Pelodiscus sinensis: one gene and its partners. The protein of the gene in region 4 purifies or fractionates together with the protein of the main gene of each other region. This does not show direct contact. Links are inferred from orthologs where the notes say so. Each region holds a gene or a part of one and is shown on either strand. Other genes may lie near its edges.

What was found.
Region 1: the proteins of PHB1 (region 4) and EMC2 purify together in Homo sapiens (affinity purification with mass spectrometry; 3 studies listed by BioGRID and IntAct, with this or other methods). This does not show direct contact. The link is inferred for Pelodiscus sinensis from reciprocal best matches to the Homo sapiens genes PHB1 and EMC2.
Region 2: the proteins of PHB1 (region 4) and NDUFS2 purify together in Homo sapiens (affinity purification with mass spectrometry; 3 studies listed by BioGRID and IntAct, with this or other methods). This does not show direct contact. The link is inferred for Pelodiscus sinensis from reciprocal best matches to the Homo sapiens genes PHB1 and NDUFS2.
Region 3: the proteins of PHB1 (region 4) and SLC25A5 purify together in Homo sapiens (affinity purification with mass spectrometry; 3 studies listed by BioGRID and IntAct, with this or other methods). This does not show direct contact. The link is inferred for Pelodiscus sinensis from reciprocal best matches to the Homo sapiens genes PHB1 and SLC25A5.

What each region holds. Positions count from the first base shown.
Region 1 is NC_134712.1:29,928,609-29,936,158, reverse strand, and holds the start of EMC2 (ER membrane protein complex subunit 2), read left to right. Parts: upstream 1-4,546; 5' UTR 4,547-4,836; coding exon 4,837-4,945; intron 4,946-5,484; coding exon 5,485-5,598; intron 5,599-7,550. UniProt on the Homo sapiens protein: Part of the endoplasmic reticulum membrane protein complex (EMC) that enables the energy-independent insertion into endoplasmic reticulum membranes of newly synthesized membrane proteins.
Region 2 is NC_134734.1:13,655,977-13,663,839, forward strand, and holds the start of NDUFS2 (NADH dehydrogenase [ubiquinone] iron-sulfur protein 2, mitochondrial), read left to right. Parts: upstream 1-4,855; 5' UTR 4,856-4,940; coding exon 4,941-5,017; intron 5,018-6,784; coding exon 6,785-6,891; intron 6,892-7,863. UniProt on the Homo sapiens protein: Core subunit of the mitochondrial membrane respiratory chain NADH dehydrogenase (Complex I) which catalyzes electron transfer from NADH through the respiratory chain, using ubiquinone as an electron acceptor. Essential for the catalytic activity of complex I.
Region 3 is NC_134723.1:34,222,782-34,230,671, reverse strand, and holds the start of SLC25A5 (ADP/ATP translocase 2), read left to right. Parts: upstream 1-4,888; 5' UTR 4,889-4,996; coding exon 4,997-5,107; intron 5,108-7,045; coding exon 7,046-7,532; intron 7,533-7,672; coding exon 7,673-7,813; intron 7,814-7,890. Other genes in the region: SLC25A43 (solute carrier family 25 member 43), read left to right, coding at 633-836.
Region 4 is NC_134739.1:14,661,955-14,669,696, forward strand, and holds the start of PHB1 (prohibitin 1), read right to left. Parts: upstream 3,007-7,742; 5' UTR 2,852-3,006; intron 1,107-2,851; 5' UTR 1,077-1,106; coding exon 989-1,076; intron 1-988.

The DNA of each region.
Region 1 (7,550 bases), on a different chromosome or scaffold from region 4:
CCAAGTAAAGTTACATTTAGTTTTCATGTCAAGGCTCAAAGTTATACAAAGTAAATAAGATTCTGCCACTCTTTCTTATTCTCAGGCAAGCAGAATTGCATTATCAATTCAGTCTCAGCTAAAAATAAAGTTACGTCTCTTGATTAATAACACATCTGGGAGAATTTGTTATTAGGGAATTTTAGTGCATATTTTTTCTTCAGTGGGTACCAGCTTCAGAAGGACATTGCACTCTCAGAAAGGCACGTGAAAGAAGCCATAATCCTTCAGAATATATCTTGATTTTAATAGTAAATCAGTATGTGCTTGCCCAGTAATCCCTTGAGCAGTTGTGAACAATAATTAATTGTATAGAATCTTGTTACATATGTCTCATCAAAATAGAAGCTAGCAAATCCCCCCCCCCCCAAACCATCTTTTCTATCCATGTGCGGATTTTTTCCATCCATGTGCGAAGTACATTTCTTTTTGTGCACTGAGGCATGTGCAGATACGCTCCACCATAAATAAAATAGAAATAAAAATCTAGCTATGGTCTAGGGATCTGAAGGACTAATCAACTTGTAGCTTCCCCCACTTCCTGCTTCTATCAGATAGAGACAACAACAGGGGGAGAGAACAGAAGGGTACTTCAAAGCGGCAGTGCTGCACTGAGCCCAGGTTCAGCTGCTCTGTGCGGCGCTGCCGCTTTAAATGCCATGGTGAGCCCGGCATCAGGCTCCACCCAGCATTTCAAAGTGGCAGCACCACACAGATCCCGTGGTCAGCTGGAGATCGGCTGGGCACTGACCCTGGGCTCTGCAGCAATGCTGCTTTGAAATGCTACGGGCAGCTGGACATCAGGCTCCTCATGGCATTTCAAAGAGGCAGCACCAGTTTGAGCCCAGGATCAGCTGGGAACTCCCCAGTTCTTATATTATGGGAACAAGTAAATAACTTTTCCTTATTCACCTTCTCCACACCACTCATGATTTTATTACCTCTATTATATCCCCCCTTAGTCTCTTCTTTTCCAAGCTGAAAAGTCCCTGTCTCTTTAATCTCTTCCCATATGGGACCCGTTCCAAACCCTTAATCATTTTAGTTGCCCTTCTCTGAACCTTTTTTAATGCCAGTATAACTTTTTTGAGATGAGGAGACCACATCTATATGCAGTATTCAAGATGTGGGCGTACCATGAATTTATATAAGGGCAATAAGATATTCTCAGTCTTATTTTCTATCCCTTTTTTAATGATTCCTAACCTCCTGTTTGCTTTTTTGACTGCCACTGCACACTGCGTGGATGTCTTCAGAGAACTATCCATGATGACTCCAAGATCTCTTTCATGATTACTTGTAGCTAAATGAGCCGCCATCATATTATATTTATAGTTGGGGTTATTTTTTCCAATGTGCATTACTTTACATTTATCCTCATTAAATTTCATTTTCCATTTTGTTGCTACACTTCAAAGGCAGAGGCTCCCTATCGACTATTCGATTAGTTAATTACTTGATACTTAACATCTTTACAGTGGTCACTCTGCTAATCAACTGTACAGCATTTGAATCCTTCTTGAGTGGTGGCACAAGTGCATAGCTTATAAGGAATGCTGCCCACATCTTTTTAAAACAATGAAAAATTGTTTAAAAAACCCCCCAAAACGTATATATTAACATTAAAAACATTAACATTAAAAACACAATATATGGAAGACTTGCAAATTTATAAATGGGGCAACTTCATTTGTAGTGAAGTTAAGAGTCCCAAATTGATTCCTAGCACACAACTTTCAAACTGGAGTTGTAATAGTAACCAGGTTAATAATGATCAGAAAATTCTGCTTCAGTCATGGAAGACAAAATTACTCCCCTCATGCATCTTAAGAATTGGATTCAAATTTATTGTCTACAGCATCTCTCCGAGTTACGGACCAAACACTTGGCCATAACTTGATCTGTTCCTAACTCTGATCCCATTGAGTTACACGCGACTGCGCTGTTCGTAAGCGCGGGTCGCGTTCGTAACTCGAGGGCCTCCTTTATGACTGCTCCATGGGAACTTTGGGCGTAAATGCGAACAATCGTAACTCCACTGTTCGCAACTCGGGGAGCGGCTGTATAAAAATAATTATTTAGCTTTCTCTTTACCTTTATATTCTGACTTTGCCCTAATATTCCAGATTCACATTAAAAGATTGTGGATATTTTTGTTATACTTTGTAAACTGTTTGAAATTCCTTCTAAGCATCTTTTATTTATTGTCATAAAACAATGTTTAGTTTTATTTTATTCACCCTATGAAATAACTGTAAGTGGCATTGCCACAGAGAAAAGTAAGGTTCTTGAACATTATCTTAGCTAACCACAGATGTTGAGTGGCCACAGTGGCAACATGGAGCAATGGATAAAGCACGGGTCTTCATTATAGATGAGGATTTTCTTTCTTGTGAAGACTGCTAGTCAGAAGTTTGGATTAGGGATGTGAATGGGTAACCAGCAATTTGATAAGCATCATCCTTCCCAGTTGGTGCTTATTGGCTGCCAGTTAACCAGTGCTTGGGAGTAGCCTCTCACTCATGGCCCTCTGTGAGCAGAGGGTGGACCCCCCTGGTGCCAGGTGCTGGTGGCAGACCTCAGGCCGGGAGTCACCTGCTGTTTTAAACTACACTAAAATGAACAAGCCCATCAGTTCTTTTAGATCAATTTATAGACCTAGTGACATAAATATAACCTCCCCAAACCACTGCCAGAGTCCAGCACTGCTACTGCTCAGCCCCTTGTTACACTGTACAGATGTACTTTCCTTAAAAATGTAGCCCGATTGACACAATTGATGTTTCTTAACACTCCTCCCCTCCCCCAAATGAGTCTGCTTAGGATGTTACCAACATTTATTTTCTGCCTTCTGTTCATAATCCAGCACTTTATAATCTAACTAACATATCTTTCATTGTATTTATACTAGAACATTTATTTGTACTTGTTTTCTCACTTTCAGTGGTCAACGGATACAGCATGTTCTGTGTTTTGCTTTTTTCCAATCATTGAAAAGCCTACTTTGGTGATAAATGATTGACATGAATGTTGTTAATAGCTTAGACAGTATTACATTTGAAAGTTATACTGTTATGGAGGCTTTAGTAGTTGTCAAGCAAATGAATTTGTGAAAACTAGATGACTTATTTATTTTATGTATATTTACACAGTCAATTTGTGTGATACATTCTTGCTGTCTAATGTTTAAATTGCCACTGATTGTTGTGTCAAGAACAAATTAGTTTGTGAAGAAGCATTTAATTTGACCTATGTAGTAGTTATGGTTGACTTTCATAATACAAAATGTGGCACAGTACAGTTTTATGAAAGAAATGAGATCCCTTCTGGTAGATGGAAAAGGGTCTGTGTTTACTTTTAAACTGTCAAATTTTATTGTGTATTTTGAAATGCAAGAAAACTGTCTACATTCACCTTTGCTGTGTGATGGTGAATATGCCCTACTACAGTTGACCTTAGGATCAGGTCTGGAACTTTTTAAGATTGGATCCATAGTAAATGCTCTTTCGAAATTTTAAAATTGAAAGCTTGGGCTATGTCTAGACCGCAAGCCTCTTTCGAAAGAGGCTTTTTCAAAAGATACTTTTGAAAAAGCCTCTTTCGAAAGAGAGCGTTTAGACTGCACGCGGAACTTTCGAAAAAGCAAGCCGCTTTTTCGAAAGAGAGCAAGTGAGTCTGGATGCTCTCTTTCTAAAAAGCCCTGTTTGCTTTCAAGAACACCTTTTTTCAAAAGAGCACTTTCGAAAAAGGCGTTCTTCCTCGTGAAATGAGGTTTACCGCCGTCGAAAGAAAAGCCACGTTCTTTCGATTTAATTTCGAAAACGCGGCTGCAGTCTAGACGCAGGTGAAGTTTTTTCAAAAAAGGCTACTTTTTTCGAAAAAACACCTGAGTCTGGACACAGCCTTGGTGTCCTTTCTATCTTACTGATATATGAAGTGGTTTCCTTTGGTAATTTTCACATATAGGACCCACTTACTGTTTCACAAAGAAAGTCTTTATTCTCATGCCTCCTTTCAAGCTGCATATCATTATGGCAACACACAGAACATTCCTAGAATGGAATTTTATAGCAGTTATTTATTTTTGCTTTAAAAATGTCTCATATTTATCAGTTGCATTTTTATATTATTGCTGACCTCTTCCAAAATCAAATTTATTCCCATAGAGCTGTTATATTAAAGAACAGTTTTGGTGGTGGCTTGCACATATGATAAATAAAACATCAATAAGAATTTTAGTCTAAAAATTGTCTGTGCAGAGGATGATGCCATGTTTATAAAGTTAAATTGCTTTGTCTAGAAAATATGTCCAGTAAAAAGTCTAAAATATATACATTTATACAACGTTCTTGTCTGATTTAATTTTAATAGTACAAGTGAATTGTCTCAATCTGGAAGTCAGCATTTGAGGAAAGTTGGTTTTTTTTTATTATTATTAAATCATTTCATATAATCATACATTACCATAAAATACTAGTTTCGATTAGATTTTTATCATTGCAACTGAAAGGTCAAATTGAAAAACAGATAGCAAGACCTATTGGTTAAAGGAAAGCTATAGATCCTGAGGATGCTGAAAATTACTTGGAAAGTTAACAGAAAAAGTTATGTTGTAGATACCAATCACAGGTTTGAAAATAGGAGGTCTGTTTTTCTTGTTAGTATGATAAAGCTTTGTTTTATAGCTAAGTTCAAAATGAAATGTCACATGTTCTGTTTTTCTTTGTCCACCCTCCACGGAGTCTCCTTCCTTCCCAGTATTGATGATGAGAAATATCTTGTATAGTACAGATTTCCATGCAGGAGAATCTGAATGCCCTCCAAAGTATATTTATACAGATTCACTCAACTATAACTCACTCAGAGTCAGAAAGCGTGACAGCCAGAGGGACAAGCGGCAGCCAAGGTAGAGAGAGGGTAATTGATGACTCAGAATAAATACTAATGTAAATCCTTAGTAAGATTTAATAAGATCTTCAACTTGTTGTCATCTCCAGTTGGGGAGGACCTCAGTTTTTAAGATTTGTGTAGGCTTCGTTTTGTTTAAAGCCCTACATACGTTAACAGTTTGATACTAAACTGATCAACACTGGATCTTAAAGGACATGAATTGACAATGCTCTGAGCTGAATCTATTCTCACGGAGCCTGTTTTACATCTGACAATTTAGATTATTCACCTAATAGCCTCTGAAACCACAAATTCAGTAGATTTTCCCCCCCCCCCCCCTCACATGTTCACTCCCTGCTTTTAAGTAGTCTCCATAATGGCGGTAAGGTAACAAGGTCAAAGTTCCAGGGATCGCTCTATCCCCAAGCAGCTTTGTTATTAGTAGAAATTGCATATGTGTATCTCTTGAACATGGTTGAGATTAGATTAAAAGTCAGTTCAGAAATAGACTTCATATTACATTATTGCATGATAACCTTATATTTTGTTTTTCAGAGATGCGTGATAAAATGAGGAAGTGGAGGGAAGAAAACTATCGGAACAGTGAACAGATAGTGGAAGTTGGAGGAGAATTAATTAACGAATATGCATCCAAGCTTGGGGATGACAGTAGGTTGAAATTATTTCAAAAGTTTCACTGTAATTGGAATAGGGATGTTTAATATAGATTAACTAATCAAATAATCAATGAGATTTCCATTGACTATTTAATTAGTCAGTAAGTGCGCCGCCACCTTTGAACTATAGCAAGAGCTCTGTCAGGCTCTTGCTACAGTTCAAAAGTAGAAGCCCATCAGGGAGCATGGAGCCAGAGGGGTACTGGCCTCACGCTCCCTGCGGTGCCTGAGCCTTTCATTTCATTTCATTTCATTTCATTTCATTTCATTTCATTTCAAAAGCAGAAGTCCTGCAGAGAGTGTGGGGCCAGTGGGGAACTCCCATATTTGCTCCAAGCTCCCTGCAGTGCCTGAGCCTTTGAAGTGTACAAGAACCCTTGCAGGGCTTCTGCTTTTGAAATGTACAAAAGCCGTGCCAGGGCTCTTGTAGATTTCAGAACGAGAATCGGAGCAGATCCTGCATGAGCCGAGACTGCTTTAGTCCCAGCTTGCCCCGTTTCCAACTGTGCCTCTACCTCTCCTGCCCTCTGTGGAGTTGGTGCTGGGGGGAACCAGATTTAAAGCTGGCTTCCCTCCAGCACCTGCTCTCCCCTTTGCTGCCTTTTTCTGATAAAGGCAGCAAGTGGGGGGAAAACAACTAATCACATCACTAATTGACTATCCAATAAGCTTATGCTTATTGGATAATTGACAAATCGCTATATCCCTCAACTGGAACAATTTTTATAGTGAGGGTACTGAGAGCTATTGAGCCAATCTCTAAATCCTGTATATAAATGGTATGTTGGGGTGCTGCAGCATTCATAGAATCATAGAGCTGGAAGAGACCTCAGGAGGTCATTAAGTCCAGCCATCTGCCCAACTAAATCAACCCAGCCAGGGCTTTGTCAAGCCAAGACTTAAAAACCTCTAGGGATGGAGATTCCACCACCTCCCTAAGTAACCCATCCCAGCACTTCACCACTCTTCTAGTGAAATAGCTTTTCCTAATTTCCAAACTAGACCTCCCCCACTGTAACTTGAGACCACTGCCCCTTGTTCTGCCATCCGTCACTACTATGAACAGCCTTTCTCCATCCTCTTTGGATCCTCCCTTCAGGAAGTTGAAGGCTGCTATTAAATTCCTCCTCACTCTTTCTCTTCTGAAGACTACACAAACCGAAATCTCTCAGTCGCTCCTCATAGGTAATGTTCTCCAGCCCTCTAATCATTTTGGTCGCCCTCTGTTGGACCCTTTCCAATGCATCCACATCCTTTCATAGTTCCATTACCTATGGTTCGGCCCTTAGGATGGGTACACATTGGCAAGTCATAAGAATATATTGTGAACATTTGGCTGAGATTGTATTATTTAGGTATCATTCAACAGGTTATCTTCACTTCCGAGGAATGGGAAAAATTATAAGGGGAGGGTTTTTTAATAAGGATAAGGAAATGTTATATCTTTAACTAAGCCGTAAGTAATATTATGTTGTAGAACTTAATGTGAAAACTGTTCTTATGACAGAATTGTATTTGTGATGCTATTGTATTTGTGATGCTATAGTTTAGTCATGTCTGGGTTTCTGTAATATATTCTGTATTACAGAATGGCTATTTCCAGAGAATTTTTATGACACTATGTCTTTCTGGACAGAAACTTGGCAAAAGGGAGTTGTTCAGGAATAACAATGCAATATCACTTTTTATGTAAGAGCAGTAGAAAAAACAAAATATTTAATGACAAGAATCATATAGTAGCCCAATGTCTGTGACTCTAACGCTGAAATGCTGGCTGCTCCCTCTGGGCGGCTCTTTTGCCTGAGTCGCGCTCTTCGCCTCCTGCCATGGCACTCGACTGACTTCTGCTACACTCAGCTAGGCCGCCGCGGGGGAGCAAGTGGCCATTTGGGTGCTGCGGTACGTGCTGCAGGGGGAGCGCGGGTCCTAAACGGTTGCTTGTGC
Region 2 (7,863 bases), on a different chromosome or scaffold from region 4:
CTAGTTGCTGCCTACCCTGATCTCTCAAGATCCACCTGGTATTCATGTGTCCTTCCTAAAACCTCACACGGAGCGTGCGTCTCTCCCACCAACACATGCCCAAAGCCAAGAGGCATAGGTCATTCATGAGCACCACCCCGAGCAGCCGGGACCTGCAGTGCCCAGAGGGAAGCTTCGGGGAGGGGGTGATGACTAGCCTACGGGTCTAAAACCTGCATGGTCATGGGAATCACCGTACTCCAGTCCTCCCCCCGGCTGATCACAGACAGCAGCTGGAACCAGGGTCCAGGAAGGCCAACGAAGTAACCAACTCTGCTCTGATGGGAAGAGATCCAAGGCTCCGGATGGGGCTGCAGCCCCAATTTAAGCCACAGGTGGAAACAAGAATCTGATTGTGGGACTGGGCTTCACCCTGCCGCGGACCCCTGGTCTGTCTCTGGTGCCTGGCTCCTGACCTCCTAGTACCTTGACTCAACCCGATTCTTGATCCCTGCCCTCTGGTTTCTCTCTTGATTCTCATCTCCTGGCGTTCCAGCTTGGCCTTATTCCTTTTGGTAATTAGTTTACCAAAACAGAGCATCCTTCTCCCTGCCTAAGGTCTCCAGACCTGTTCTCCATCCCGGCACACGCCAGCCCGCTGGCTCACCCTACCCAGCAGAGAGGGTTCAGACAAGACAGGCCCATGCAGCCGTGGTTCCAAGCCCCAGGTCTGTCTGCGCTAGTAACATAAGCCCAGAGCTGGGACAGCTGCCTAGAGAAGTCTGAGCCAAACATGAGGAATATCTTTGCTAGGGGAAAGAAACCAAACCCACATTCAAGAGCTCAGCTTCTTTGGCTTGAGCTTCCCAGCCATCTCCCCCTCGTGAAACCCGAGAGATTCTGTCTTTGGCTCAGCTCTGGCTAGCCACCCTCCATCTCTGCAACGTGCAGAAATGTGACAGCAAGAGATAAGCCCTGGAATACCTTCAGCACAGGCCCAGGCGCAAATGGGCCTTCAGCCACACTGGAGACAGGATGTGAAGTCTCTGTTTTCTACCCAGCGTACATGGTGATCTGATCCCTTAGCTCCAGGCATGTGAGAAAGCAGGGACGAGACAGACACCGGAGCCAGGACTGGGAGCTCCTGCTGCAGCTGGGTGGGACAGAAAGCAGGAGCTTTCTTGGGCAGGGAGACTGGCGCCAGACTGACCTGGGATGGAGTCGGGATAGAGCAAACCCTGGGCGGATTCTAGTGCCGTCTATACTGGGGTTAGGTCGACTTAACAACATTGCTCAGGGCTGTGGATTTTCCCCCCAGGGATGTAGCTGGGTCAACCTAATAGTTTTGTGTAGACCAGGCTGCAGCAACTGTCGGTAAGAGCTGATCTCACCCGCCCTGGTAGGACACAAGGACTGCATCAAGACTGGCAAGTTTTTCCACAAAAGCAGCTAATTTTGCGGAAAAACTTGCCAGCTGTCTACACTGGTCGCTTGAATTTCCGCAAGAACACTGATGATCTCATGTAAGATTGTCAGTGTTCTTGCGGAAATATTATGCTGCTCCTGTTCGGGCAAAAGCCCTCTTGCGTAAATGATTTTGCACAAGAGGGCCAGTGTAGACAACACAGTATTGTTTTGCGCAAAAAAGCCCCGATGGCGAAAATGGCGATCGGGGCTTTCTTGCGCAAAACCGCGTCTAGATTGGCACGGATGCTTTTCCGCAAAAAGTGCTTTTGCGGAAAAGCATCCGTGCCAATCTAGACGCTCTTTTCCGCAAATGCTTTTAACGGAAAAACTTTTCAGTTAAAAGCATTTGCGGAAAATCATGCCAGTGTAGACGTAGCCAAGGAGTGGGGGCAGGTTCGGATGACACCTGCTTATAGCCAGGGGTTGTGGCCAGCTGAGCACAGCTCCCTCTCCTGCTTAGCAGGCATGCAAACAGCTCCTCTGGTTTCACTACTGCCGAGGGGGCCTGCCAAGCCCTTTGCAAATTCTCCGTGAGTTCCCACGCCCCGCAGCGAGGAGGGGCACTGAAATTAAATCCCAGGCCACGCGGAACGCCACCAATTCTAGATTCAGCCATGAGGCTCCCCGGCTCCTCTGGGGGTGTCGGCAGCTCCAGAGCAAAGCGGATTTGTCAGGTGGGACTAGGCTTGATTGGGTGCTTCCCCCAGAGGCAGCTGAGGCCAGCAGTCCGGGTGTGAACTCAGAGGCAGCCCAGTGGTGAGGTTAAAGGATGAACGGGCACAGCGCCCCTGCTAAGGCACAGCAGATAGGAACTCCCAGTGAAGAGCAGACTGCACCTTTTTGGGCTGGGGCTGCCACCCCGATATTGCCCAGCACAGCGGTGTCTGGATGCACGGTGGGCTTGAGTTGGGGGAAAGGCTCCCAGTGCAAGCAGGAGCCCTGGAGCATGGGCAGCCAGCCACCCTACCATACTTGGGGATGAGACTCCCTGCAGGGCCTGGTCACTGGTGCTAAATTGAGCGGCAGCCACAGAGGATGTGCAAGGAAGGAAAAAGCAGAGGCAGCTGCTTCCCCTTCAGGCTGGGTCATCTGAGGCTGCCCGTGGGATTGTCCAACCAGCAGCCCCAGCTCTTCCGGCATCCTACAGGAAAGCCAGACAGCAAAGACCATCCCATCCCCTGGCCATCTCTGCTCCTCTGGGCAGGGGAGCCAGCCCCTGTCAGCAAGACCTGGGTTAGAGGGACAGGAGGACAGCGGGTGGCTGAGGATGCTAGCTAGTGCCGTGTCTGTCCCAGCAGCACATGGGATATCAGCCCTTGGAGAGCAGAGCCCCACAAACCACAGCCCAGGCCCCATCCCTGTCCTCCCCCACATTAGGAATGTCTGTGAGGGATGAAGCCACAGCCCAGAGGGGGAGGGCAGAGGGCCTGTCTGGCACCGGTGGCTAAGGATGGGGAGTAAAGATTTCCACTGACTCACCGCAGCCTCCCCACAACACAAGCTGCACCCTCAGCACCCCACCACAGTACAGCCGGACGGCCCCGCTACAGGCTTCTACAGAGTCAGACATATGTGTCACAACCTCCCAGCACACACAGCCCCACCACAAAGGGACACACACCAGCTCAAATGACACGCACAACACCCTGCCTGCAGATGTGCACAACCCCCGTCGCGTACAGACACAACCTACACACACGGCCCTGAGTCTGTAAATATGCACAGCCCCCCTCCTCAACACAATCTACATACGCAGGCGCACACTCCCCCCCCAATTCACACACAGCCCCTCACAAAGCAGCTCCCCAAGCAGCTTCCCCCAAAATGCTAGTTCCAGCACACTTGGCCCCTTGTCTCATAACAGGAAGAGACCTGCACCCCTCAGATCTCAATGCTCGAGCTGAGCAGAAGCATATGCCGGCTGCCGGCCCTGCCACGCCACAGGGCACAGGGCAGGCGCTGTTATGCCTGGGCTAAGGGGTCTCAGGGCAAGTGCTGAGCGGCCAAGCTAAAAGGCTGCAGGGCACAGGGCAGGCATGACACTCCCAGGGGACCTAGCTAGCTAAGGACAAAGGCTGGGTGCTGGAGTCATGGGATTCTGAGCCTGAAGGTCTGCTCCAGGAGCCCCCTTGTGGCTCTCATTTTCTGCAGCAGTGAATTCCCAGCCGCTGGCTGAAGAACCCAAGTGGAGCGACTTTTTCCTTCCCCAAGGCCTTCCAGCTCTGGCTCCCAAGCATCCTCATTGACCCTCAGAAGAGCGCCACTGCGGGGGCCTGGCTGCTTCCCAGCATGGTGTGTCAGAGGCTGCCTGCGCTGTTCCCACTGGCCAAAGCAGAGTCAGAGCTGAGCTCTCCAGCAAGGCAGCAGGTCTGAGCGGGGTGTGGGCTTGTCCTGTTGCCGATCTCCCGGACATCCGCAGCTGGTGACACGGCCGGTTCCAGCCCTTTGGCCTCCCATTCAGGGCTGTCCAAGCAGCTGCCTAAGTCTCTTCCTCTCAGCTGCTTATCCTGGATTTTACCCCAAAGGCAGAGCTTTGGCTTAGTGCCCAGCGGGGTCCCAGCTCGGTCCCACTGCACTCCACAGCCCCAGCCCAGTGCCCCAGGGTGGCAGCAGCCCAGTTGCCATAATCATGGTAGATAATCTTGGCTCCACAGGGACAGACATGACGCTGAGGTGCTGCCCACCTTAGCAGACGGCCCAGTAGTCTGCCTGTTGGAGTGACAGCCCCAGGAGCAGGAGCCAGGCTCTAGCAGAATAAGACCCAGGGTTGCGTTGCCAAACCTCGCGGCCAGCTGCAGGCAGCAGGAACCGGCTGACAAGGATCCCTGGGAATCCCACCAGCCCCAGGTCCTGCTCCTCCCTCTCTGCATGCCCAGCCTTGCACTGAGCAGCCCCGGCTCTGCTGTTGCTGTTCGCCAGAGGGCCTGGCTGCTCCCTGCGCAGCCCCGTGCTGCGGGGTGTCCCAGACCCCAGCACTGCAGGCGGCTCAGGGACAGGGCTGGAAGCCAAGGGTGCATGCGGGAGGGAGGCAGGGGAACTACGTTCCGTTCCCTGGAAGTTGCACAGGCTTAGGAGGGCGGGGGGGGGGGCAATGAGAGGGGACCCAAAATCTGCCTCATTGAGCGCCCAGCTCTGGGGAGCTGCGGGTGAGGGGCTGGGCCCAGCCTGTGGCTGCCCAGGCCCTGCACTTGGGAGCCAGTCCCACGAAAGGATCCCGTGGGGCACAGAGCAGAGAGCCAGGCCAGCCCAGCTGCCCTCATCCATCATGGCACCCTGCTGCTTCGCCAGCACCGGCCGGGCAGGGAGCCTGCCCGCACTAAACATGGCGGCCTCTACGCCGCGGCGCCGGCGCGTTGCCCCCGCCTTTGCTCACACGCCTCCTTTGCCCTCACTTAATATGGCGGCTCCCCGCCAGCTTTCCCTACGGGGCTGAAGCTGCCCGGGGGCGGTGGCGGGGTACTTCCGGCCCGGCTCGCCGCGGCGCCGCTGGGAAGATGGCGGCGCTCAGGGCTCTGCGGAGGCTGCGGGCACCTTCAGGGTCATGGCTCCGGCTGGGGGCAGCGCCGAGCAGGTGAGACCCCCCCCTCCCCGGCGTTTCTCCCCCCTCCCCCTTCGGCCCCGCTCCCCATTTCCCCGCCCCCTTTTCCGTTGGAATCTCCCCCTCCCCCCCCCTTTCCCGGTATCTCCTCTCCCTCCACGCCCCCCCCCGGGCACCCTTTTCCCTGGCATCTGCCCCCACCCCCTTCTCCTGCCCCAGCGCTTCCTCTCTGGCACCCCCCAGCTCCCCCTGCCCTCCAGGCATCCGCCTCCGTCTTCTGACCCCCAGCACCGTTCCCGCCTCCCCAGGCGTCTCCCCCTAGGCTCCTGGGATCCCTCCTCTTGTCCTCCCGTCCCCCCTCCCTGCACCTCCCCCGGGTCTGCCCCTGTCCCCCAGGGATCCTGTGTCCTGCGGGGTGTCTCTTCCCAATCTCCTGGGCATTGTTCTCTCCCCCTTTCGGGTCCCCGTCTTCCGTGGGACGTTCCCCGCCCTCCCCAGATAAACCTTCCTCCACTTCTTTGGTACCTCTCCCTTGCCTCTTGAGACCACCCATTTTCTTGGGGGTCATTCTTGTGCCTCCTGAGCATTGTCATCCGCTGCGCTCCCTGGGGACCCTTCCTCCTTCCCCCAAGGTATTACCAACCCACCTGGGAGGCCTATTTTTTCCCCCCCTCTCATAGACTTTAAGGTCAGAAGGGACCATTATGATCATCTAGTCTGATCCCCTGCACAGTGCAGGCCACAGAATCTCACCCACCCCTCTTAGAATAATCCTCTCACCTATATCTCAGATATTGAAGCCTTCAAATACTTTGATGGCCCCAAGATGCAGAGAATCCTCCAGCTGTGATCTGTGCCCCATGCTACAGAGGAAGGCAAAAATCCTCCAGGGTCTCTGCCAATCTACCCTGGAGGAAAATTCCTTCCCGACCCCAAATATGGCGATCAGCTAAACCCTGAGCATGTGGGCAAGACTCACCAGCCAGACACCCAGAGATCCCAGCGCATGCCATGAGGCTGTTCCATTATTACTCTTGTGGCAGTGAGCAGGCCCCGGAAACTTACCTCCTGCAGAAACCAAATTGGCTGTAGATGTTGAGTGTAGCCCATGTGCCTGACTAGTTCCCATCACTGGGTGGCTCCGGGGGTGGGGTGGGGGGGCTGTCATACAACCCCCTGCCTTGTGGGGCCAGATGTAGGTGGTGCCCTTGTGCCAGAGTGGGCATACTGTACATTGGGCATCCCTCAGATGTCCTTGCTAATGGCCATTGATCTGGGGACTAGCTAGCTCAGACACTTTGAATGAAGCCTTGCTCTCCAAGGTTACCAGTTTGAATCCTGCCAGCATAAGTCTGGGCTTTGGTGGTTTTGGAAACTAGATGAGTGGCTGTCTTGCTCACAGTGCATGACTGTCCATTGCAAAAGTCACCACCACATGGACGCTAACGGACCCTTTGGCAGAGAGGGATTGATGGGGCTATTACACCTGAACTCCCTTCGTCCTTAGACGAGCCCCACTCGATCAGGCTTGAGGGTGGATGGTAGGGAGCCAGGTGTTGAAGCTAGTACTGCTGCTCCCCAAACTAGGGAGAAGTAGGCTCCACGGCTGCCAAACCTCATGCTTCCCATGATCAAGCTCTCCCGTACAAGGCACAGTTTCACTTTCAGTCCCCTTTGTTTCCCATCCTTCCCCACTTGCCTGGCAACAACCCCTTTAAAAGCCTACAGAGTCTGAGACTAGAGACAGGCAGATTGAATGAAGTTGTCAGTTTGACCCCCTTTCCTTCTCTCCACGTCTAGAGGCGCCAAGCAATGGCAGCCGGATGTCGAGTATGCCCAGCAGTTTGCAGGTGCAGTCATGTACCCCACCAAGGAGACAGAGAAATGGGTGGCTCCTCCCTGGAATGGTGAGTTCTGCCGGAGGCAGCTGCCCCATTAAATGCACCATTGTATTGGCGGTTTGTCACATTTTAAGTTCAGAGCCAAACTCACCATGGGGGGCTGGAAGGGGGTAGCCCCACCTCTGTGAACGTTGCTGGACTTACAGTGGAGTAGCCCACTTGGTCCTGATCCTGGTGTGACCTCTGTGTAGATGCACCCCTGCGTCTTCATGAAGCACATTGCAGAACCAGATCCCAGCGGAAAAAACAATAGTGGGAAAACATGTGGTCAGCTTGGGGAGATCTTCCTTAGTTGAAGGTGATGTGGTTTTTTTTAAAAGATTTCTTTTAATAGGCACCTCTCTTTTTATAGAAGCGATTCCTTGGTTTTTATTTTAATGTAAATGGAAACAGGGTTTTGGATTTGAAACTTCTCTTTGCTGCATTAGAATCCCAAACACAACTGCTTTGGGCATGAAACAATGATGGCAACAGGTGTGCTAGCACTAGCTATCACCTTGCGTTAGAGCGGGGTGGGGAACCTTTTTTGCATTGGGGCCAATGACCCACAGAAAAATCAGTCGGGGGCTGCACACCAGTGAGAAGCAACATGTAAAGGTCCTGAGCGAGAAGGAAAAACACACTCCTCACATTCCCCTCCCACACCAGAGCCTAGGGGCCCCAGGCTAGTAGATTTTCTGTGCACCATCCCTGTGGGTGGCAAGGGGGCTGGAGCACCATCGTGGGCTCCCCGATTCAGGGGGGATCCCTAAGTCTTGGGGGCCGGATCCAGGCAAGCTGGAGACCACATCTGGGCCTGAGGCTCCCCACTCCATGTTAAAGAGAGCTTCAGGTTAGTCTGTTTTAACACAGCCAGACACTGTGAGACGTCTCTGCTGTGCGAGACGTTTTTAAGACATTGTGGCTACGTCTACACTGGCCCCTCTTCCGGAAGGGGCATGTAAATTTCAAGAGTCGTCGTAGGGAAATCCGCGGGGG
Region 3 (7,890 bases), on a different chromosome or scaffold from region 4:
CCTTGGGAAGTCAATATTGTCTAATACAGGGGTGGGGAATCTAAGGCCCAGGGGCCAGATGTGGCCCCTGGCTTACCTGGATCCAGTCTCCAAGGCTCAGGGATCCTCCCCCCAGGATTTTTTTTGCTTCTCACTTTGTGTGTGGCCCCCGACTGACTTATCTGTGAGTCAGCAGCCCCTGACACAAGAAAGGTTCCCACCCCCAGTCTAGTAGCATTACCAACACTTCCATTGCTTACTGGGCTCTTAGAAGACATTTAAGGGTAAATTAGAGCTAAACAACAGCACAGAACATTGAGTGCCAGAATTGGTGGCTATAAACAAACTTTATGGGACAGCAGGAAACTTTGTTGCACTCATGATAAGTGGACATCAGGCTAACTGAAATCATGCCAGACCATAGATGTTGCCAGACTAGAGAGGTTCAGGTTCAACCTGTACATGTAATAAACCAAGTCTCAACATAGTGGTACCTGTAGAATGATACAACTAGTATAGGGTCAGATTCCCAACTGTGCGAATCCGCATTGCCAATGAGGTCAAATCTGTTCATGAAGTCTTATAAATCCTAGCTTTTAGAGAATGTGGATATTGATTCTAAATTAACTTATTTCAATTTTTTTTTTGTTAAGATTGTCCCATACTATGGTGTTATGTTTAGCACCTTTGAATTCTGCAAGCGGGTATGTCTCTACAGAAATGGTTATATCGAATCTCCCTTAAGCTACAAGCTAATTCCTGGAGTGGATCAGAGTTTACAACCACAAGAGCTGCGAGAATTAAAACTCCTCCGAAGAGGAAATTTTGAGCCGCCGAAGCCAACTCTTGAAAACTGACGTTGGAAAGCTCATTGAGTAAATGTATGTTGCAGTCATTCTTGGCCAAGTCCACAACCTGAAGAAAGCAAGGCAGAAAGGAAGATGCATTGCACTAGAGGTAGCAGCACCTGGTTTACTGTGACTTTCCCGGAGTTTGAAACTCTTGTGTCAAACATTAATAAACTTTGTAACCCATGTAGTGAATTGATACACTCAATTCAAGCTCATCAGAAGGACACAAACATTTTGAAACTATTATGATTCTGGAGCTTGAAATCAACTAATTTGGGGATATTTTCAATGATAAATAGCTTTTTAATACTAAAACCACTTGTAAAGAATAAGTGATGTGAGCCATGATCATAAATTGGGATTGATTCTAAAATAAATACATTTGTAACATTTGAGGACACTGAACACGTGGCCTTCAGAACAGATACATGGTTTAAAATAGACTAAAATATATACTGTATATAAGTATTTTTACTGAAATCTGTCACTAGTGCAATATGGACATGGCATTCTAGGTATGCAGTATTTGTCCTCGGACAGTTAACACTTTTGTTAGCCTTAGTCATCGTACTTCTTGTTTTCAGCTTTTGTAAGATTTGAGAACTGAATAATTTTCTCAGTGCTCAGTTGCAAAGAAAAATGAAAACATACTACAGAGGTATTTTTGCCAAGAAAGAATAGTAATATATGAAACCGCACTGAAATGTTCTAATAGTCCTAAATGCAAGCTGAGATTCCCCCCCCCAATCCCCCCCCCCCACACACACATGTATATTTTTGCCATTATCTGAATTATTTCAGCTTTGGGGAAAAAACAAAACTGTGTATATGTTATGTTCATTTTTGTTATGACTGACTATGCCTACTACAGTGTGAAAAATGCAGATGCCAAATGGGTTAGATAATTAAGTGTTAACACCCTTACATTGATATTTTTAAAGATGTATTTTATATTAAAATAATTTTCACAGATGAAAGTTTTATGGTTCGATTAGAACAGTACTATGCAATACCTAGCCTTCCCATCTCCTTACAGTCACTGTGGTGGTCCCCTTTAAGTGCTGTGACCTACAAGTCAATGTATTGTCATGCTTTTCCGAAGAGGGGATGTTAAACAGTAAGGAGAGCTACAGTGTGTGGACTAGTTTATCCCTAGCTTAGATAAATGTCATTCAGGGACTGGCCCTCAGATCAGTAAGAAATGGTTGCTGGAATCGTGATTCTTCCAGGTAAGTGTAAAGTTTCTCCAGGTGGCATTGTGACACTCAGTCACATCTGACACTGATTCCCTGTGCCGTCATAGCCCAAGTGCCACACACTGCACTAGAAGGCAAAGGCTAGTCAGAGGTAGGGGTGCTGGAACAATTTTTATAGTAAGGGGGCTGAGAGCTGTTGAACCAAACTGGAAACCCTACTGAAAACCACTTCAAGCCAAGGGTGCTGTAGCACTCCCTCTCCCCCACCTTCCTGCCCCACTCCCCTAGTTCCAGCACCTATAGTCAGTGGCACTGAGTTATCCTCCCTGACAGAAAATTAACCTTGGTTCACCTGGGGAAATACGAAGAGGTAGAAAGTGGTGTTTGAATTCAATCTTAGATGTAAGGAGTAAAGCCATTGAGAGCCAGAATAACCGCAACCTTCTATTCTGGAACACTTGACAATGGTGAGCAAAGTCTTACGGCAGCCCTGTAACAGTGAAGTATTAAGGGTTCCATTTAACAAATGGTATGTGTGTCTGCCCCAGTTCAGCCCTGGTGTCAGCTGATGCTTTTAACTGCAGTTGCTTCTGCTTCCACTAGAGCTGAAATTTGATCCAGAAAGGTTCAGCCTGTACACCAAGGCAGGGGAAAGGCTGGGAACATAATTTGTCCTTTCTTGCTTCCCAATTCTTGAGTCCAGCACACTGTGCTCCTTCATCTTAGAACGGGAATAGTTTTGATACCTTTTAGGTGTGCAGTTTCTAACAGATGAATCAAGAAGCAGAGTAAATTATCAAACTTTAAGGGCTGCACCTAGAAAAGTGGCCTAAGTTAACCAAGATAGACTAGTCTCTCATACTTTTTATGAATGGTGTGTTGACCTACTTGGCAGACTTAGCTAGGTCCTAGGACTGTTCCATCCCAATTGTTTTTGATGGGTTCTGCTACCTTCAGGCCTGCTGATGGGGGAGAGGAGGAAATTGCCCTGGGACCTGGCAATACAAAAGGGCCTAGGCCTTGCTGCCACTACTGTTGGAGCCCAGGGCCCTTTAAATTGCTGCTAGGACATGGTGCAGTGCACTCTGGGTAGCATTGAGGGTGGAGGAGGGGCACACTGCCTTTCAGGTGGCACTGAGGGCCTGCTACCCAAGGCCCCACTGCCCAAGGCCCCCCCCCCCCACACACACACATACACTCTCTCTTCTGCAGACTAACCTTGCTTTTTTTTTAGGAATTCTTAACCTTAAGAGATTGAATTCAATCACTATGTATAAGCCAGCCAAGCCTTGGAGCTAATGGGCAGGGTGGGAAGCTGCCATTTGTGGCTCGGTGAGCCTCACCTCTGCTCACTGCAGCCTGTGGCCTGTACTTAAGGGCCACTGAAAGGATACTGCTAGATGGATCTTTGGTTTGACCCACTATGGCTGCCTTATGGCTTGAATGTGATGTAACAAAAACAGACCTGTATGCAGGAATTTCTGTGTGTGCGCGGGGGGGGGGGGGGGGGCTTTTTTTGTAAATGTGAACCACAAGGCTGTGAATGCTCCCCCAAGTGAGCGGGCAATTCAGCCCTAGCCTTCCCCCTGCCAGCCAGAGCATGGGAGGGAGGATCCAGCAGCATGCTGTTCCTGCTTTCTCTTGGCTAGCCAGAGCATGCTGACTTGAAAGACTATGGGGGGTGCTTTCTCACCCTTCACTCCCTGTGTACAGGTCTGAAAAAGAAAATGGGACAAAAGGCTGAAAAAAATAATCAGGAGGCAGACCATCACAGGATCTAAGATTTAAAGTTATATCTCTCTGGCCCTACCCTACCGCCTAGAAACTGAGGTGGGATTGAAGTAGGTAGGCTGGTGAAGAGGAAGGTTTATTGAAATATTTAACAAACAGAGATTTTTTCTGTCTGTTGAAGTAAGTGACAGTCCACTGCTGGGCAATGACAGACTTGGTCCAGGCACTGAGGGTACATCTCCACTGCAGAGGAAGATGGAAGTTGCTGTCGATCTTCCAGGATTTGAATTAGCAGTTAAGACAGCTCATTTGCACTGAGAGGGGCACTCCTGTGGACGCTGGTCACCCTCATTACAGGAGGAGCAAGGGAAGCTGAAGGCAGAGTGCTCTTCCTTTGACTTTCTGCTGTGTGGACAGCACCAAAAGCCCAGTTAAGCTCCTTGGACCTCAGCTATGCAGTGAATGTAGCTGACGTTACGGCGCTTAATTGGACTTTGTCCAGTAGAGTAGCTGTGCCCTGACAGACTCTTTCAGAAGCCGCCTTTGAGTTCAGCACTGGGTTAGCCCACAGCTCTGTTGCAGCCAGGGCTCTGAGCAGCCTTCCCCACCACAGGTGCGCCTCGGGCTCCGCGACTCCCACCTCCACCTCCTCTGCCCCCGGGCGCCTGTGATGAGTGACTCAGGCCTGATGCTGAGTTCGGGCGGGGGCGCCCAACCCTGTTTCCATGGCAATGGTGTCGGGGCAGGCAGAGGCTTTGGAGATGCGCTGCGCTCTGTATTTCCCGGGGGTTGCCTAGGAACACTCCCGCTTGGCGTCACGCGCTGAAACCCAAAGCAGCCCCCTTCCCTGCAAACCCTGCCCGCTCCCTGCTCCTCCTCCTGCGCCCAGCCAAGGGCACGGAGCCCAGCCTCGCCCTGGGATGATGGAGACCCCACCTGGTCACTGGCGCTCCCAACAGCGTCAGGTGTGGGGGGGCGCCCAAGCTTCCCCCCCCCCCCACTCCCAGCCGGTCCCTCCCCGGCCCAGCCCTCCTGCTCGCAGCCAATGGGCGGGGTGGGAAGCTGCCGTGCGTGGCTCCGTGAGCCTCACCCCCGCTCGCTGCAGCCTGCGGGCGGTATATAAACCCGCCATTTGCAGCCGCCCGGCCTCAGAGCCCGCGGGTCCCCATCAGCAGCGGCCTCCGCAGCAGCCTCTCGCTCCCCGGTTCTAACTTATTGACCTTCCCGCCGCCCCTCGCCATGGCTGACGCCGCCGTGTCCTTCGCCAAGGATTTCTTAGCCGGGGGGGTGGCCGCAGCCATCTCCAAAACAGCCGTCGCGCCCATCGAGCGGGTGAAGCTGCTGCTGCAGGTGGGTTGGGGGGCGTCCGGCTGGGGGGTGCCCCGCTCCCTGGAAGGCATCCCCGGGCAGGAGGGCAGCGCTGATGGGTCGGGGAGGGCTAATGCCCCGGGGCTGGCCGGGGAGTGCAGCGACTCCCACCCGGGGATCGCCCCGAGGGGGGTTCCGAGCGCCCTGGGCGCGGGGAGAGGCCGGCCCCGCCGCTGGCTGCAGCTTTGTCTGGCGCTGGGCCGCGGCCGCGTGGTGCATCCGCGGGCCAAGGCGATGCCGCGGCGCTGATCCCTCCCCAAGGTCGCTCCAAGGAGAGGCCAGGCCCGAGCATCCCGGGGCAGCAGCCGCCCGGCCTGGGGAGGGGAGACGGGTCTCCGCTGCCGGCGCTGCCCCCGGCAGCAGGGCTGTGCCTGGGGCGAGGCTCCGCTGGTCCCGCCCGGTCCCGGCCTGGCCCTGCCCGAGGAGACGGTCCCCTGGGCCCGCTCCTGTGCGGGCGGCTGGGTCCCCGGCCCCGGGCGCGTTTCCCGGCCTCAAGCTGGAGTCCCGGCTCCTGCCCCGCGGGGGGCCCTGGCCAGAGCCGGAAACCACCCGCCGGCAGCGATCGGCTCCAGCTAGTTCCGCTTACGCAAAGCGGTGCCGGGCCCGGCTCGGCGTGGAGCGAGGTTTGCAGCAGCCTCCTCCCCGGCGCTTCCCTGCAGGCTGGAGCCACTTCCCCCGGCGCTGCGGGATCTCGCGGGGCGCTCGGACCCGCAGCTAGGCACCGCTTCCATGCGTCGTGCGCTAAAACCAGCAGGCAGAGGCAGGCCGACGCAATATCTAGCCCGAGGAAAGCCATAGAGCGGCCCGGTGACCTTCCAGGCCCAACTCCTCCCAAAAGATAAAGACACGCTGCTACCTTGGCTTTGCTCTCTACAGGGCGCAGTTCTGATCAGGCAGACTGCTGCCTCTTGGAGAATAGGGAACAAATACGATGTGGCAACGCATATTTTGCTTTTGAAAAAAGATGGGATGTAATTCTACTCTAAAGACGTTCTTTTGGCTGTCGCCCAGTAGGTGTGCGCCTTCTTGCTGCCAAGCAATTATTTAAAAAAAAAAAAAAAGTTCGTCACCGGCTGACTTTCACCTCTGGGAGTGTTCTGAGGAGGGTTGCTCCGGAAAATCCTTGCAGAACTAAATGGAACCAGAAAGGGCTTTATTAACACTCCACCCTAAGATAAGAGCACTTCCTGTTTCTGGGTCAAAGGAATAGTAGGTGATCACCTTGGAATTCAGCACTCAGCCTTTCTATCCATTCCAAGAATCTATTGCACTGACATCTGCTAGAGGACAGTGACAGTTCTCACTGAGGCAGCCTAGGATGCTTAATGACACTTTTATGATGAGGCTTGGCAAACTTTGATTTTTTTTTTTGAGGGACAATATTGATCATAAGCATTTTTATTTTATCAATTTAAGTTTGCACCATTGCAAGGAAATTATAGGTCACACACTTACTTAATGACAGTAGTCAGATTCAGAAAGTAAAAGCCTTATCATGAACACTGATGTTTCCTTGAAGATACTTTGCAATTTGTATCTCAAAATGAGATTTCAAATGGCATTTTTCTTACATTGCTTATCTTTGTAAATGTAATCCTTCCGCACCTAGTCATAACAATCAAAGTTTAAAAAAACCTCTATCTTGAGTCTTAACCAAATTTAAGTGACCCACACTTAATCTTATATTCATTCTTGTTTACTAGTAATTTATCTTCATAAAACCATACTCATTTTATTTCATAACAGGCTTTCAGTGTGTCTATCCAGACCCTGGAATCAGAGGCTTAATTGTCAAATGCAGTTTGAATTATGCATTTCTAACTAATAAAAATCATGAAAACTTCATAAATCCAGATCTTCAGGCTTGTAATTTTATCAGCATGGTGAGATGTTAATCTAGCTTGTTTCTCTGTTCTACAGGTGCAGCATGCAAGCAAACAGATTACAGTAGACAAGCAATACAAAGGCATCATGGACTGTGTTGTCCGTATCCCCAAAGAGCAGGGTTTCCTGTCCTTCTGGCGTGGCAACCTGGCTAATGTGATCAGATACTTCCCTACTCAGGCCCTCAACTTTGCTTTCAAAGACAAATACAAGCAGGTCTTCCTGGGTGGCGTCGATAAAAGAACCCAGTTCTGGCGTTACTTTGCCGGCAACCTGGCCTCTGGTGGTGCTGCTGGTGCTACATCTCTCTGTTTTGTCTACCCTCTTGACTTTGCCCGTACTCGTCTGGCAGCTGATGTGGGTAAAGCTGGAGCAGACAGAGAATTCAACGGTCTTGGTGACTGCCTAGTCAAGATTTTCAGGTCTGATGGTCTTAAGGGCCTGTACCAAGGCTTCAATGTGTCCGTGCAGGGCATCATTATCTACAGAGCAGCCTATTTTGGCATCTATGACACTGCTAAGGGTAGGTCTTTTGAGTTAACTTCCTAAAATGCAGCACAGACTTTTAGGCCAAACACTGGATTGTAATGCAGAAAAATTATTTACTTTGGTGTTAACATACAATGATTTGGTGTTCTTAATCTGCTCTCTTCCCTCCCATAGGAATGCTTCCTGACCCAAAGAACACCCACATCATCATCAGCTGGATGATTGCTCAGACGGTTACCGCTGTTGCGGGTTTGACTTCCTATCCATTTGATACTGTCCGCCGTCGGATGATGATGCAGTCAGGGCGTAAAGGAAGTAGGTTTCTAATTCCCAACTAGAATATAATGGGGTGGGCATTCTCAAAGAAACACCTCTATATCCAGAGATGCAAG
Region 4 (7,742 bases):
GTCAAGCAAGTCAGACAGTAGGAGAGCAACTGATAAAACAACTTCTGGCTCCTCAAATACTAACAGTTAAGAATGCCAGCCTTTTGCACCTATTTTGTGCTAGGGATGTTACGTTTTCATTAATCAACCGAGTAGTTGATGGAATTTCCATTGGCTGCAGGCGGCCCCCAACTTGGTTCCCAGGGAAGCGTCGCAAGTCGGGGGCATCATACGTCAAACCCTCATTTACGATAGGTGCCGTGTGCCGTCGTATATGCGGGCCGAGGACGTAAGTCAGGGGTTTTCAGCCCATTCTGCACTTACAAAAATGATTGTAAGTGCGGGGGGGGGGGGGGGGGTCGGAACTCAGGCGGGCGGAAGTCGGGGGTTTCCTGTACTCGATGTGGGGGGGAGGGGGGGCTCACTATACTGCTGCACCTCTCCCTTTGAAATGTACAAGAGGTGCGGGCTCGTTCAAAGGGAGAGGCGCAGCAGTAGGGACGCCTCTGCCTCCCCTGCCCCCTGCAGAGGCAGTACTAGGGAAACTGGCTTTTCAGCCGGCTCTCCCAGCACCAGCTCCTGCTCCCCCCCACCCCCCTTGCTGCCTGATAGAGGCAGCACCGGGGGGGAGGGGGCAGAGGGGTGAGCAGTAAGCTTATGTTTAATGGGTAGGCAACTAGTCACTTACATCCCTGTTTTATGGTGGTGTGAGTGACGACACAAGGAGCAGACCAACCAAGCCTGAAGGCCAATTAATTAGTTCTCCCCATCCTCACAGAGTAGCTGATCCTAACTATCCCAAGGCAAGTTTATAGTCTCTTAGAAATATCTCAGCTTCACCAATTCCTGGTAAAGAAATGTTAATTCAGCTCCATCCCAACCATTTTCAAAACACACTTCGGAATTAGAGCGGAGTCTACGGAGTCGGATGCCTTGAACGGGACACCCTACTTTGTGAAGCTGAACGTTTCAACAGAGCGGGAAGGGCTCTGCCTCGTCGGCGCCTCACCGTTATAGAGAGCGGAGTTGACAACGCCCCCTGCGATGGCTAATCCTAAACCAAATTTGCCAATGTTCTCAAAGAGTCTGGCAGCCATTTCTCAGTCCAACTGCAGCCTGAGTCACACCTGAAAAAAATCCAGGACACGTATTAGAAAGGTCCTGCTCCCAGAGCCCAGGTCTTCCTCCCTCTCTGTAGGATGGAACAATAAATAACCCCCATCCCCAGGGACAACAGGAAGAGCGGCAGGCCCCTGCCCAGGCAGATCTCGCCTCAAGCTCCCCTTCCTCAGCCCAGCACCTCACACCAGCCTCTCCCTGCAGCTCCCCTTATCTCTAGGCCCCAGACACCCAGACCTAGCAAAGGCTCCAGACCTCACTCCGTGTCCCGCAGCAGGGCAAGGCCCTGAAAGGCTCCTCGACTCCCAGCACCTCCCTTCCAGACAGCGCCATGGCTAGGGCACCCTCTGCTTCGTCCCCCGCCTCACCAGGCCCCCGAAAATCCCCCAGCCCAGCCCTCCACCCTCCTCCAGCCCTGCGCCCCCCTCCTTATAGCCCCCCAGACGTGCTCTCCAGCCCCCAGCCTTGTTTTCTGCTACCCCAGCCCTGCTGCCTAGCCCCCCGCCCCCCAACCTAACCCCCCCTCCCCCAGCCCTGCTGCCTAGCCCCCAGCCCCCCAACCTAACCCCCCCTCCCCCAGCCCTGCTGCCTAGCCCTCCGCCCCCCAACCTAACCCCCCCTCCCCCAGCCCTGCTGCCTAGCCCCCAGCCCCCCAACCTAACCCCCCCCTCCCCCAGCCCTGCTGCCTAGCCCTCCGCCCCCCAACCTAACCCCCCCACCCCCAGCCCTGCTGCCTAGCCCCCCGCCCCCCAACCTAACCCCCCCCACCCCCAGCCCTGCTGCCTAGCCCCCGCCCCCAACCTAACCCCCCCACCCCCAGCCCTGCTGCCTAGCCCCCAGCCCCCCAACCTAACCCCCCCACCCCCAGCCCTGCTGCCTAGCCCCCCGCCCCCAACCTAACCCCCCCACCCCCAGCCCTGCTGCCTAGCCCCCAGCCCCCCCAACCTAACCCCCCCACCCCCAGCCCTGCTGCCTAGCCCCCCGCCCCCAACCTAACCCCCCCACCCCCAGCCCTGCTGCCTAGCCCCCAGCCCCCCAACCTAACCCCCCCTCCCCAGCCCTGCTGCTAGCCCCCCGCCCCAACCTAACCCCCCCCACCCCAGCCCTGCTGCCTAGCCCCCCCGCCCCCTAACCTAACCCCCCCACCCAGCCCTGCTGCCTAGCCCCCAGCCCCCTAACCTAACCCCCCCAACCCCCAGCCCTGCTGCCTAGCCCCCCGCCCCCTAACCTAACCCCCCCACCCCCAGCCCTGCTGCCTAGCCCCCCGCCCCCTAACCTAACCCCCCCACCCAGCCCTGCTGCCTAGCCCCCCGCCCCCTAACCTAACCCCCCCGCCCCCAGCCCTGCTGCTAGCCCCCCGCCCCCCAACCTAACCCCCCCGCCCCCAGCCCTGCTGCCTAGCCCCCCGCCCCCAACCTAACCCCCCCGCCCCCAGCCCTGCTGCCTAGCCCCCCGCCCCCCAACCTAACCCCCCCGCCCCCAGCCCTGCTGCCTAGCCCTCCGCCCCCAACCTAACCCCCCCGCCCCCAGCCCTGCTGCCTAGCCCCCCGCCCCAACCTAACCCCCCGCCCCCAGCCCTGCTGCCTAGCCCCCCGCCCCCCAACCTAACCCCCCCGCCCCCCAGCCCTGCCGCCTAGCCCCCCGCCCCCCAACCTAACCCCCCCGCCCCCATCCTACCTCCCAGCCCCCCCGCCTTCCTAGTCCCCACAGCCTCCTCCAGCCCCCCCTCCCCCCGGTGGGCGGGGCGACTCACGCGCTCCGGTTCTGCCTCCCCCCGAGCGGGCCCGGACTCCTCGCGCTCCTGACCTCCACATGCAGGTTCCGGCCACCGCGCCTGCGCCCCGCGCCGCAAGCGCCGCGCTCATTGGCTCCCGCCCGCGGGCGCAAAGGCCCCTGGGATGCGTAGTTTCCCGGCCGCCCCCTGCTCGCCCTGCTCGCGCGGGGCGGGACTACCACGTCCGGCAGGCAGCGCCCGCCGAGCAACGGCTCTTCCCATTGGCTGCGGCCCTGCCGCCCCCGTCGCAGGGCGTCTCGGGAGTTGTAGTCCCGCCGCCGGGGCGAGGGGAAGCCACGTGCTGGAGGCGCTGGGCTCGGGGCTCCAGACAGCCCGTGTGAGACCCGTTCCTGCCCCGCCCCCTCCTCTGCTGGGGGGTCCCCCAAAGGGCCACGCCCCACCCCTCCCCCTCCCTCTGCTGGGGGTCCCCAAAGGGCCACGCCCCACCCCCTTCCCCTCCCCCTGCTGGGGGTCCCCCAAAGGGCCACGCCCCATCCCCTCCCCCTCCCTCTGCTGGGGGGTCCCCCCAAAGGGCCACGCCCCACCCCTCCCTCTGCTGGGGGGTCCCCCAAAGGCCACGCCCCACCCTCCCTCTGCTGGGGGTCCCCCAAAGGGCCACGCCCCATCCCTCCCCCTCCCTCTGCTGGGGGGTCCCCCAAAGGACCACGCCCCACCCCTCCCTCTGCTGGGGGGTCCCCCAAAGGGCCACGCCCCACCCCTCCCCTCCCTCTGCTGGGGGTCCCCAAAGGGCCACGCCCCACCCCTCCCCCTCCCTCTGCTGGGGGTCCCCAAAGGGCCACGCCCCACCCCTCCCCCTCCCTCTGTTGGGGGGTCCTCCAAAGGGCCACGCCCCTCCCCCTCCCTCTGCTGGGGGTCCCCAGAGGGGCCATGCCCCACCCCTCCCCCTCCTCTGCTGGGGGTCCCCAAAAGGGCCACGCCCCACCCCTCCCCTCCCTCTGCTGGGGGTCCCCAAAAGGGCCATGCCCCACCCCTCCCCCTCCCCCTCCCTCTGCTGGGGTCCCCAGAAGGGCCATGCCCCATCCCCTCCCCCTCCCTCTGCGTGGGTCCCAGAGGGGCCATGCCCCACCCCTCCCCCTCCGTCTGCTGGGGGTCCCCGCCCTCCCCCTCCCTCTGCTGGGGGTCCCCAGAAGGGCTATGCCCAATCCCTCCACACTTATCTCCCAGCGGCAGGGGAATGTTCCAAAGCACCATGACCCTCGCACAACCCAGATACTCTGCTGGGATGGGGGTTCCCCAAAATGACCTTGCTCCAACCCTGCAAACTTTTCTGCAGGGCAGGGGCTCCCTAAAAGGGCCATGCTCAACTTCCTCTCAACTTCTCTGCCTAGCAAGGGGCTCCCCACAAGGACTAGGCTCCAACCCCTATAAGCTAATACAGAAAAGCCCTCCAAAGAGCCTGAGAGCTTCTTTCCTGCAGAAAGTGATGTGCTCTGCTCCCACCAGAAAGTCTTTGCAGAGCCAAGCTGCCATCCGAAAGGACCATGCTCCTGCCCTCAAACACCTGTGCAAGGTAAGGAGAAATCGTCAAGTCCAGTGCACCAATGCCCCTCCACTCCCCAGCCTTTTGCAAGGCGGGACCTGGCATTGAATAAGCAGCTTCCTCCGCACAGGGGAGGCCGGGAAGAGACAGATGGGGCTTGGCGTTTGCTGACAGTGCGCGGGAGGGTCTCCAGCTAAACCCCTTTGAAGAAGAAAGGGGGCTAGTGCAGGGGGAGGGGGCTGAAACCAGGTTCAGCTGTGTCTGCATCAACTGTGTCTCCCGGTGTGATTGATCCAGCCTCACCACAGCCCTCTGAAATAGAGATCAGTTTACCAATGTTAAGGACGGGGGACCAAGCTCAGAGGAAGGTTAAGGGACTTGCCCAGGGTTGTAAAGCGCGTCAGCGGCGGAGTGAGGAGTAGCCCCTGGAGTTTTGATTCTTGGCTCCATACAGAGCACAGTCCCCCTGTCCTTAACCACGACCCAGGCCTGCCTCTTTTGAGAGGGGTCGTGCCTGTGGGTCTGCCTGTGCTAGGTCGCTGCGGTGCTGTAACAGAGAGGCTGCCTACGTCCACATAAGGGGGTTTCCAGCTCATCCACCTCCCCAAGGGGCAGTAGTGAACTCGACACAAAAACTCTTCCATCACCCCCGGGTTCCCACCTCGGGGGCTAGCTCGACCCAGGGCGCACAATTGTTCAGAGCCCCGAGGGGCCAAGCAAAGCGGGTCTGATTTGTACTGTAGGGGGCAGGTCCGGTCCCTCGTGTTCGGGGGTACAGAGGGCAGGCGGGAACTCCAAGCAACCTCTGAAAATGTTGCTCACCAAGGATTTCCAGGGCGCGCCGCCCGGTCAGTGAAAGCAGAGGGGACGGGGTGTGCGTCAGACGGACCAAAAAACCCCTCCCCTTGTCAAACCGCCCCAGTTTACAAAGCCCCGTTTGCTCCAGGCTGCTGTCCCGGGGCCTGTGCTCCCTACCCCGAACAGCCACGGGGAGGAGCCAAACCTCAGCCCAGGGAGCGTTTCCGAGCCCGCCGCTCTCCCAGCCTGTGCCAGGAAGGACAGAAAAGACGGATCGCACCCAGCTGAGACTGGCCCCATGCCCCGAGCAGAGCCCCCCTTCCTCCCGCCATGGCAGTAACTTGTCCCAGCCACTTCCCTCTGCGTGTTCTTCCTTCAGCTACTGCCCGGGGGGCTTCGCTAGGCGGCCGTGATTTGCGAGCCTGGCGCCCGGGTCCTGACATCCATCAGGTAGCGGATAAGCCGGGGCGGGAGGGAGCAGTTAGTGGCTGGGTGCCCCCCGCCGGGGGGCCTGCCCTGATTTACAAGCTCCGAAATGCGCCCTGCTTGCAGTAGGGGTCCAGCGGGGGCTTTGTCTTACTCTTAACCTGAAACACCTGTCGGCCGCTGCGGGGGGCCTGCGGGCGTCGCGTCCCGGCTCGGCGGCGTCCCGGCTCGGCGGTCATGCTGCGCAGTCCTCCCTCCCCGCGCCCGCCTGTAGCACGGGGCTGCAGCACATCCCGGGGCGGTTTGCAGCTGCGGGAGAGCGAAGCCTCATGAGCTTTCTCCTTGCCCACATGGTTCCCCTGCTGCGCACTAGGGAAACTGAGGCGCGGGCGGGGGAGGGGTTCTGCCAGCGAGGCGGGGAAGAGCAGGGTGCGCCCAGGAAGGGCAGGGCGGAAGGCTGCCGGGCGGCGCTTCAGTTCCCATCCGAGTTTGCTGGCTGGCAGGGGAGGAATTTGCGAGAGCTGCTGCCACCGCGGGTGGGGGAAGCCGCCTCCTCTAGCCAGTCCTGGCCACAGGAGAGCTCCGAGTGCCAGGCTGCCTCCAAACCTGGCTCCAGCCGCTGTCTCTGCCCCCCACCCGAGCGGCTCTGGGACCATGGGCCTCTGGCGCCTGCCGGCTGCGTCTCGGCGCTTCCTGGCTGGCTCCCTGGTGGGAAAGGCCGCGGCCACCCGAGACCCCTGCCGGCCCCCGTCTCCTAAGCAAGGCGGGCGTGAACCCCTGGCTCCTGGGGGCGCCCTAGCACGAGCAGCCCGGGTCTGGGCCCGAGGACCCTGCGGGGGCCGGGGCTGAGCCCCACGTCCCAGCCCTGCCGGTTTGCAGTGAGGACGCAGCTCCCCCGAGGCAGAAGGCCGGTGCGGCTGCGTTGGCGAGACCCGGCTCCGGGGGCTGCCAACCTGCCTGCAAGGTGCTGCGCCCTGGGGTGGGGGGCTGCGTAGACACCCCAGCGCAGGGAGGAAAGGTGGGGTCTGTGGGGTAACTGATTGAAGGGCGGGCGGGGGGTGGAGCTGGCCCCTGCTGCAGACAAGGGCTGCCCGGGCCCGCCAGGAATAGGGGCTGCTCTGGCCCAGGCTTAGCGGGGAACCAGCCAGTCGCCACGTCCCTGCTCCGAGCCGCAGCCCAGAAGCGGGTGCATGGCAGCGCCGGGGGACCGGGGAGGGTCCCTGCCCTGCTTGGCCCGGCGCTGGCCGGGTGTGGGGCCGGGCCTGGGTTTGTGCAGCCCCAGGCTTGGCAGGGGCCCGGGACCCACAGCGCCTGCGCGGCGCGGAGAAGAGGTGACGGGCAGGGAAGCAGCCTGCAGGGAGCCGGGAAGCCAAGGCAGCTCTGGCTCACTCGCAGGCCCTTCCCCGCCGGCCTGGCGCTGAGACTGGGGGCTGAGGGGGAGAGCCTGGCTCCCGGGAGCTGGTGAATAAAAGCGTTTTGCTGCCATGTGCCTCCTGGGGGCACCGCGCCAGGGTCCCACGCTTCCCCGCCCCGAGCCCGAGGGGCCAGCGGCTCCGCCATGCCCCCTCCCCGCCCCGGCAGGCGCTGGCCTCGTGGGCTCCTTGGTGTGGGGTGAGCGGCCGGCTCCTGCTTTGTGTCCCCGAACAAAAGTGCTGCGGCAGGGGCCTGGCGCGCGGGCGTGAAACCGAGCCGAGCCCGGCCGGAGGGAGCGAGGCCCGAGGGCCCGCAGGCCGGGCTGAGCCTCGGGGCGCGGTAATTACTCGTCAGACGTGCGGGGGCTCCCCACGGAGAGCAATGCACAGAACAGGGCCCGTGGCGCGAGGCTGAGGGCGGCCCAGCACCCCGGTGCATACACAGGCCGCTGGGTGGGGTGGGGTGGGGTGTGCGCAGCTGTGTGTGTGTGTGTGTGTCCACCGTGTGTTTGTGTGTGCCTGCGTGTGTCCAGCTTGTGTTTGTGTGTGCGTGTGTCCAGCGTGTGTGCGTGTGCGTGTCCAGCGGGTGTTTGTGTGTGCCTGCGTGTCCAGCGTGCGTGCGTGTGTCCAGCATATGTGTGTGTGCGTGTGTGTGTCCAGCGTGTATGTAGGTGTGCATGTTTGTGTCTAGCATGTGTGCGTGTGTCCAGCATGTGCATGTGCTTGTGTGTGT